2 linked regions of the Saccharomyces cerevisiae S288C genome follow. The gene in region 1 interacts genetically with each later gene. Each region holds a gene or a part of one and is shown on either strand. Other genes may lie near its edges.

Region 1 (4,574 bases):
ATACACTTCCAGGGAACGTGATCAAAATGATCTTCAGTGCGACATTGACTACCAACACAGAAAAGTTAAACGGCTTGAACCTTTACAAACCAAAGTTGTTCCTGAAGCAAACCGATAAATTGTACCAGCTACCTAACAAATTGAATGAATTTAACATCAACATTCCCACGGCGAAAAGTGTTTACAAGCCATTGATATTGTTGTATTCAATATGCCAATTTATGGCACATTCCCCCATTGCTGCAAAGATTTTGATTTTCGTTAAATCAAATGAATCGTCTATCAGATTAAGCAAGTTACTACAACTTATCTGTGAATCTCGCTCACAATCCAGCGTATTGAAAAACCTTCAAAATTTGGCGGTGAGTATTAATTCTGTCAATTCAAACAACTCCAAAGCAGAAAATAAAAAAATTGTTGCGAACTTCTCGCATCACTCGGAAAGCGCAGGCATTACCATCTTAATTACTACCGATATCATGTCCCGTGGTATTGATATTAACGATATCACTCAAGTAATAAACTATGACCCACCAATGTCTTCTCAACAATATGTCCATCGTGTTGGTAGAACAGCAAGAGCTAACGAACTTGGTTCCGCTTATAACTTACTAGTAGGTAGAGGTGAAAGAACGTTTTTCGATGACTTAAACAAAGATCTAGATAGAGACGGTAAATCTGTCCAGCCATTAGAACTCGATTTTACCCTATTGGAATCTGATTCTGAACTATATACTTCGTCTCTAGAAAGTTTGAAAAACTATCACAATAACACCGCACAAGCTTAATTTCTCACTTTCCACCTTCGCATCCATTCATTTATAACATTCAAACATTTTTTTTTTTAGTCTCATTCTAATAACTCCTGAGTATAGTAATATTAATATGTATGTATTGATGGGTATGTAACTGTAAAATTATATTCGGTCTATGTCTATTGTAGTTTCACACGTTGGAATGCTCGTTTGAATGCACTTGTCAATGGCTAACCTTAACATCAATTCGTCATCGTCGGAGCCTCCTTTCATTGTTATCTTGATCAGTACCACATAAAGCGTAAAATTCACTTTGCTTATTACTATATCATCGTAATTTAGGATGTATCTGGATTTAAACTCACTTAATCTCTCGATTTGGTCCTTGATCATGTTCTTAATGGTTGTTGGATTTTCAGTGAAACCTGCAGAATTCAAAAACCCAGTTTTCCGTATCTTTGTATTCTTTGTTGCTATAGGTAGTGAGCTCATTGATCTTGGTCGTACAGATGGTTTTTCTTTAGCAGCTTTAGACTCGACTTGTTGAGTATGGGCGGTCGTATCAGTGCTGTCATTATTATTGAATAACGCTGAATTGGATAAAGATGTGGTGGAAAATCCCATTAGTAACACTGTCGAGGTCCACCGTGCTATAGTCAGCCCATGCCATAGAATTAAACTCGAAATAACCAAAGTAGCAAGGTAATCGGATATACTCGATAACAGATCCAATAGTAGGGGATAAATGAATAGGTATGCTGTATAAGTGATGGTAATAATCGGGTTCTTCGTCTTTAAATTACTGTATTTGTTAGCATAAAACGTCTTATAAAGTGATAACGTCGATAACACTAAATTGATCATTAGTATGCTATACCATAAGGTAATATTCTCGTTTTGTGAATCATTGGCATTGGCAATGTGGGAATGAGGAATTTGCTCATTAATTTCATCGTGATCATGGTTATTCGTCAAAGAACTACCAGATTCTACAAAGAGGACTATGAATTCTTCAATTATATGGAATAAAAGGTCCAGCCCAACAAAGCATAACGAAACGGCAAGCGCAAAACTTAGTAGAACGTCTATTCTATTTAACCCGAATGGAAATGTGATAGTGCCTGTAAACCATACCTGGAACTGAGACAAATTTTCCACAAATATGATTACCAGCGAACCGATGATATCGTAAGTAATAAAATGCGATAGTGTAATAAAATTACTCCATGAGTACAGGTGTCCGACTTGGAAAGTAATCAGACATGCAAAGATTTGTAGAGCGGCAATAGATAACTGAATATAAGCCTTTGGCCATGGCAAATTTGACAGCAAATCATTGAAATCTGGAATGGGAAGAGATTTGGCAATGTTCAAAGGAATTTTCACCTCAGGCTCTTGAAAAAAATTCATGGATACAGAGGAATGCTTATAACGATGCCCCTTACGAAATGAGGTCCTTGATGCAGCTGAAGAGGGTGGTGTCTGTTGATGCGGTTGCAGCGTTGATGTCGTAAAATTAAAGGGAGAATCCAAGGTCATAGAAGACCTCTTACTGCTGCCAGCATCGGGGGAAATGCCTCTTACCGGTGATCTTGTTCTGGGAGGAGGCGGCACCAGCTTTGGTGCTGGTATATATTTGAGTGATTGCCTTCGTCCTTCGTTGCCTTTTCCCTTCATCAAAGCAGCTTCATTGATATTAGCATTACTAGAAGCGTTTTCACCAAAAGTGAACGAAGGATTGTAGATGATACTAGAACTGGAATTGTTACCTTCCTTGGCAGAATAAAATAGGGAACTGGGCCTAGGTGATGCAAAAAATGTCCTGTTTTGGGATGGTATACCGTCTACATTCCCGACAGCGTTCATATTGGACAAAGAAAACGATGAAGCATCGGAATCATTCAATTTAGGAGTCTGGAAAGCAACTTCCGGAGACAAATTGTCCTCCTCTTGTATAGCGTTCATTTGCGGCGTCTCCATAGCTCTTTCCCTATTCTATAATCTCGCTCACAAGTCACTAAATATTCACTTTTTCTCTCTTAGTAACAAAAATACCTTCAAGGTTCATCATTTTCAGTAATGAATATTCTTGATATTACGCAATAGGACACTTGTGGAAAACTTTTTGAGGTTGCGTTACCCGCGCTGAAATTCGAGAACAATAAAGATCATCATCTCTCATTTTAGCTACATTATAACATAAGAAGGTGCATTTAGTTATCTTATGTGGACTAGGGTATGACAAACATGGCTGCCAAGAATCAGTTCAAAGGAAGCAGCTTCACACTAGCGCAGCTAATCGAAGAAGTCGGACGTAACGGAGGAAAAAAGCCTGTGTTCCAGTATAAGGTACCACGGTCGATACGATGGGCTTCAACTGCTCTAGCTGTAGTGTTTCTCACATATGGCGCTGCATACACTGATATGTCGTGGAGAACTGCTCGAGAAGTGTACGGAAACGCTACTGAGGAAGAAAAACACAGCCCGTGGTTCAAGTGCAAAACTTTTGGGCCTGTGGCTTTAGGGGTTTTGCCTGTGATCCTCGCTGCTGCCACGAAACACGTAACGTCAAGACTAGTCACAGAAATGAAATATCTGCCACCGCTCAAGAATAGTACGGTGCCACGGTGTCAATTGACTCGACGCACTTACTTGTTAGGAAGACCAGTTTCTATCACGAGGGAGATCAATGAACTGTCTAAAAATAAGGCCACCAAGATCTTCACAGGAGTAGGTTCTCAAGGTATGGAGGATAAGGCCACCTTTGTTTTCTTCACAGTGGATGAAAAAGCACCCTCATTTTTCAATAAATTTTACATTTTCTCGAGATCTGGTAGCGTTGTGAAGAATGACGCCAGGATCTTGGACTGCTTTTTCAACAGTGTGGCAGAAAATAAGCTATTGAACAGGTCAATATTAACTCAGATCCTTTCACATACGTCTGCCAAGACCCTATTTCACTCGGGGAATTCTAGATCATCCATCAAGAATATCGTGAAGCCCAAATAGGTACGGACATCTACGTAAGAATGCATGTAAATAATAATCGAATAAAAGAACAATTAAACACTTGTATATGCACGCTATATCTACAAGAATCCAAACAGTCTCAAGATGTAGTCGACTGCCAAGGCGTACGTAAAGTAAAGTCCGGTGTTGATATTTGCATTAAAATACTTCCAGCAGTTTTTAGGATTGTCAAGATCCACTTTCTTTATCATGCTGAAGAGTCTATAAGCGAAGACTCCTAGTCCACCAATGAACCCAGGCCCCCATAACAACCCACTGTTCAAGCCGGCGACAGCTAACAGTGCGATTTGAGACGCGGACATGGCCTTCATGATAGACTTTGTGCGTGGACCCCAAGCCAAAGCGGTAGACTTGATTCCAGCCTTGATGTCAAACTTTTTATCCTGGTGTGCGTATATAGTATCGTAAGTCATACACCACAAGTAACTGCTCAGGTACAAAGGTATCATTGTAGGCCAGCTCATTACACCCATGGCAGGAAACCCAAGTAACGCTCCCCAATTGAAACATGCACTTAATGCAGCTTGAGGATAGTACGTAAACCGCTTAAACAAAGGGTATGTGAACACAATAGGTAACGATGCAAGGCCTAGCCACCAACACTGCGCAGGAAGCAAAGATAGAACGCCCATTCCAACAAGAGTTTGAGCCCCCAAGAATACTAACGCCCGACGGGGGCTCACTCTACCAGAGGCGATAGGCCTCTCGACGGACCTGATAACTCTTTGATCCAACTTTCTATCCAAAAAATCGTTGATGGTGCAGCCAGCACCTCTCATTACCAATGCA
Region 2 (5,515 bases), on another chromosome or scaffold:
TTCATTTAAAACTCATTTGGCTGATTCATTTGCTGTGAAAATAAACAGGAATGGAAAGCCAAGAATATAAGTTAATTTTTTCGTTCAAATAAATATAAAGCAGGCCTTGGTTTATGATAAGGTACCAATGATGAAGATATTTCGCATATAGCTAATACTGTTCGAAAATTAGATAATCTTATAGAGAAACTATTATCATTGTTTACTATATTATTCATGTTTTCTTTTAATTATCGAGCTTTTGAAGGTGAGGTAGTTTAGGAAGTGAGGCTGATAAGTAAAAATTGGATTTTAGGGAAAACTAGATCCAGGATTGGTACTATTTTCTTTTGTTATTGCAGTTTATCACCATTATTATTATTATTATTATTATTATTATTATTATTATTATTATTATTATTATTATTATCATATATAAATACACACATAAACGTTTTAAGCTTATGTTCAGCAAGTGCTGTAGCCACGATATTATAGAATATAAATCAAAGATAACGTTTTCATTCAGAGGGGTAATTTAAAGGTAGGTATTTCCCAAATAGCTGAGCATCTAACTGATCGAATACTCCAAGAATATCGTTTGAGTCAGTCATATTTTGTTCGTTTTTAATTTCAATATTAGGTGACATCTCCTCTTTATCTTCTATGTTCAAATTGTCTTGTGAAAGCGGTATTTGTAACTGGGGAAACCCTTCATAAGACGGTGAATTGTTATCAATCTTAATGCCGAAGTCATTATTATTTTTATTATTGTTATTATTGTTATTATTATTACTACTATTACCACTATTGTTATTGTTATTATTATTATTATTATTATTATTATTGTTGTTGTTGTTGTCGTTGTTGTTGTTGTTGTGATTATTATTACTATTGTTAGTAATATTATTGTTATTATTGTTTTTGCCACTAACATTATTGTAGTTGTTGTTAATGGTATCTGGGTTGGAGTTATTTGATGCATTGCTCTTACTGCTGCTAAAATCGAATGCACTGTTAGTAGGGATGTCGCCGTCATTCCTGATAAAGACGTCATCTGTGGCATCAAGAATATTTGATTGGCCATTATTATCAAGTCTGATATCAATAGATAAGAAATTGTTCGGATCTCTTTCATTAGACATGTTAGTCGTTCCTTGGGATACTTGATCTTGCTGTTGTGCTTCATTTAAAGGATTTTCGGAAATAGGTGTATTATTTAGGTAATTAGCCATAGCGTAATCATTGGTGCTTTCTTCACTCTTAGCTAATGAAAAGCTATTCTTCGTATCCTGGGAAGAAAAGAATACGGGTGGTTGCAATGAATCTCCTAAATGAGGTTTCAAAGCGGAGGAATTATTAGTCACTAAAAAGGCACTTTCGTTGGATGGTGATGAATGTAACGCAGTAAGCTGGATAGTTTTTGAGTTTAGTTTTTCAAAAATTTGGTTCAATAAATTATAAGTCCTGCTAGCGGCCATACTAGAATCCTTGAGTTGAATAAGAACGCTTCTACCAGTTTCTGCGTCTTTCAAAATATCATAATATTCTCTAGCACTATCCTTATCAGGCAATTGCGCCTCATGGATGTAAAATAAGAGACCTGCAACGGAGTAAAAAATTGTATAACAGGCATACCAGTATGAACCAGTTAATAAATTATTACTAACCATCTCTTTTGCTAACTTAATAACCGTTCGAGCCACGGCAATAGAGTTCCGGGCTCTCCGGTAACATAAGGGATCTACATTTTCAGCATTCATGTTGCGTGATAAATAATGAATAAAAGGCCTGTATAATATTATCTGAACGTGCAAAAAAGACAAATGTAATAAACGATTTGCCCTTTCATATTCAGGATCAATATTTTCTGCGTTAGGTATCAGTTCTTTGGGCAACGAATCCAACCAATTTCTCAACTTTAATTCCAAGCTAGTAACTGTCTCATGAGAAATTATATTACTAGTTTTTTTTATCGGATATAGTTCAGAAATGATCTCATTTAAAATCAAAAATAGTTTTGTATGTTCATTCGAAATCCCCGTACTTGATAAAACGGAGTGTTGGTTCTCAGGTAGGTACGCCACCTCAGTGATATTCTCATCTGATAAATCCAGGGGGAGAGTTTGGTCAAAATCGTCGGGGGAAATAGATCTCGGTAGGCCCAGCATTGCATTGATATAAACGTCCAGTTTATAGATTGTATAAAAAAGGCGTTTCCTCATCTCAATTTCTATTGGACTAAAACCAGAATTGGGGCTCAATTTCCTATGAAAGCCTGCTCTCAAAGCACTTCTCATGGCGACACCGATATAAGTGTAACACGTTGATAAACGTGCGGAACATTGTAAGAATATAATCAGCATTAAAATTGCTTGTATGGAATTCAAGTCACGGGCATTTGTAATGTCGATTAGTTTCCTTGCTGCAATGAAGTACTTGTAACCTTCATCCTGTAGAAACTTTTCCCTTGACGAGTCATTTGAGACAATGGATTTCGAGAATAATGCTCCCACAGCGATTGCAGCGTAGCACAATGGTAAAAATTGCATTTGCTTAGACGTATAATTGTTTGGGTCTGTCTCATACAACTCATCCAATTGTCTAATGAACGATGGTCTGTGATAAAATCGGAGAAGAACACAGCAATGTTCCCAAGTACTTTTCACGAATTGTAAAGCGATCGCTTTTGGTGGTAGAATTATTTTTATTTCTCTACCAACGGGGATATTGGAGTAGGTATCTACACTGTCTTGTTCCCTGTTGCTGGAGGCGCTATTCGAGTCACTTTTCATGTTAGGTAAAAATTCGTCTGGAGTGGAGTTTTTTGAATTTGAAGAAAGTACTGGTTGGATCGGAGAAGAACTGTCATTTACGATTAAAGTATATTCTTTCACAGTGTCATCTAAAAACGACTGCGAGTCCCTCTTAAAATTGTGAAAGATCTGCAAGAACACAGGAATATCCAGATTGTCTATATCAGGTAACTGCGGGAAGACCTCATCAAATATTTGCTTGTACCTGTCAATCTTCGATTGTAACCTTGTGCTCTTAGTCTTATACTTTCTTGGTTTAGATGGATTGTTACTTGCAGGTATTGTAGAAGCACCCGGTAAAATAGCCCTTTCTGTTTTAATGTTTGAGAGGAGTTTATTTGGATTGGAAGCGGCGGCTGCCACCACAGTACTTGATGATGGACCAGTAGTAACATTGCCCAGTGTTAGAACTCCGGAGTTTCCGGAGTTCTGTGTTCTCTTCGTAGGCTTCTTATAAGTACATTCATAAGAGTACACAGTACAATGGATACATGGTTGCTGACCATCACATTTAACTTTTTTCTTTCTGCATTCATCACAGGCTCTAGTGACCCTTCTTCTCTTGACAGACTGTTCCCCTTGTTGCGCTTGTTCTGGCATAACGCCCTTATCAATTATAATATGCGCTCCTTTTTCTTTGTCTCTTACCTTATGGAACTCAAATAAAAAGAGGCTTTTTTTCTATATGTTAACCTCTTCGAGATTTTCTAACCGCTTTATAAAAAATTCGATTACTGGTTGTCTTCAATGCAAGGAACTACTCAACAATAGAAGGTCATGTCCAGGTAGACAAACCTCATTACTGTAGTCACTTTTGAAAAAAAAATTACCAAAAAAAAAAAAAAGAAAAAAAGAAATCACTAGGGCTTGAAGAGCGTAGGTCTTATAAAATGTTTTTTAAGGGCTTGAACGGAAATATAGCATATATGATAGGTCTAAAAAAGTTACGAAATAGGTTATGATCCATGGATGAGGTAAACAAAAAAATGGAAAAACATAAACAAATCAGAAACGGTATAGAGAGAACAGGATGGTAAGAGGTTTAGATGAATACCGGCTCTATAGAAGATTGAAGGTTTAAATAATAGTGTGTAAATTGTGCGTTCAATTAGCAAAGAAAGGCTTGGAGAGACACAGTAATAATAAATGTCTGTTACCAGTAGGGAACAAAAATTTAGTGGTAAGTATAGTTCGTATACAGCCCAGGATCGCCAAGGGCTTGTTAATGCGGTGACATGTGTTCTTAGCTCGTCAAGCGATCCTGTGGCTGTGTCAAGTGACTATTCCAATAGCTTGAGTATTGCCAGAGAGGTCAACGCTTATGCTAAAATTGCCGGATGTGATTGGACGTATTATGTACAAAAATTAGAAGTTACCATTGGTAGGAACACAGACAGCTTGAACTTGAATGCTGTGCCCGGTACAGTCGTGAAGAAGAATATAGACATTGATCTTGGTCCTGCCAAAATTGTGTCTAGGAAGCATGCTGCAATCAGATTCAACCTGGAGAGCGGATCATGGGAATTACAGATATTCGGTAGAAATGGTGCTAAGGTCAATTTTAGAAGGATTCCCACAGGTCCAGACTCTCCTCCTACGGTGCTACAGTCTGGTTGTATCATAGACATAGGTGGTGTGCAAATGATCTTTATATTGCCGGAACAAGAAACTATTATATCGGATTATTGCCTGAATCACCTCATGCCCAAATTACTATCTACTTATGGTACGAATGGTAACAACAACCCGTTGCTACGTAACATTATCGAAGGTTCTACCTATTTAAGAGAGCAAAGGTTACAGGAAGAGGCTCGATTACAACAGCTGGACCACCTACACACCCCATTATCGTCATCATCAGATGTTAACCCAATAGGGGATCCACATGGAGACACGATTATGATGGAAGAAGATGAAGAAGATGAAAATTACACCAGAGGAGGAATTAGACCGAATACATACACGTCCAGTAGCAACAATGCTGTCACTAACGGTAATGTACCCCATATAGAAAATCCATCAGACTTGTCGCTGGATGAAAACAGATATATCAAACCACCACAGTCGTATGCATCGATGATCACCCAAGCCATTCTTTCAACACCCGAAGGTAGTATTTCATTAGCGGATATTTACAAATTTATCTCTGACAACTACGCATTTTACAGGTTTTCTCAAATGGCGTGGCAGAACTCCGTGAGGCATAATCTGTCCCTAAATAAAGCCTTCGAGAAGGTGCCCAAAAGAGCTGGTCAACAAGGTAAAGGGATGAATTGGAAAATTAGCGATGAAGTCAGGCGTGATTTTTTGAACAAGTGGAATGCTGGTAAATTGAGTAAGATTAGACGAGGCGCCTCTGTGACAAGACAGCTGCAATTGCACATGTCCAAATTTGGAGAAATACCTGCTCCTGAATCTTCATCAATTGACCCGAGGGGGATAAAAGCACAGAAGGTGAAAAAGTCTTTACAAGCTACGAGCTCGATTTTAGGTGAAAGCGCCCCGCAATTACAAAGAACTCAACTCACTGGCCAAATTTCTACTACGACATCCATGGACGTAACAACAAACGCAAACGTGAACAATTCCTCTCTGAGTTGAAATTCAGCGTCGTCGAACCCATATGTATTATTAAACAATAAAGAACAAAGACCCGTTAAGAAATATCTTACACCTTTTAGATTAACGATTAAATAAACAAGAATTCTCGATTTATATCT

What was found. Genes that interact genetically often act in the same process or in processes that back each other up.
Region 2: mutations in ZRG17 (region 1) and ASG1 together harm fitness more than expected from each alone (negative genetic interaction), as found in Saccharomyces cerevisiae (2 studies listed by BioGRID).

What each region holds. Positions count from the first base shown.
Region 1 is NC_001146.8:696,697-701,270, forward strand, and holds ZRG17 (Zn(2+) transporter ZRG17), read right to left. Parts: upstream 2,736-4,574; coding exon 918-2,735; downstream 1-917. Other genes in the region: putative ATP-dependent RNA helicase DBP6, read left to right, coding at 1-788; MRX15 (Mrx15p), read left to right, coding at 2,994-3,764; COQ2 (4-hydroxybenzoate octaprenyltransferase), read right to left, coding at 3,845-4,574.
Region 2 is NC_001141.2:100,662-106,176, reverse strand, and holds ASG1 (Asg1p), read right to left. Parts: upstream 3,396-5,515; coding exon 501-3,395; downstream 1-500. Other genes in the region: TAO3 (Tao3p), read left to right, coding at 1-70; forkhead family transcription factor FKH1, read left to right, coding at 3,942-5,396. UniProt on the Saccharomyces cerevisiae protein: Probable transcription factor involved in the stress response.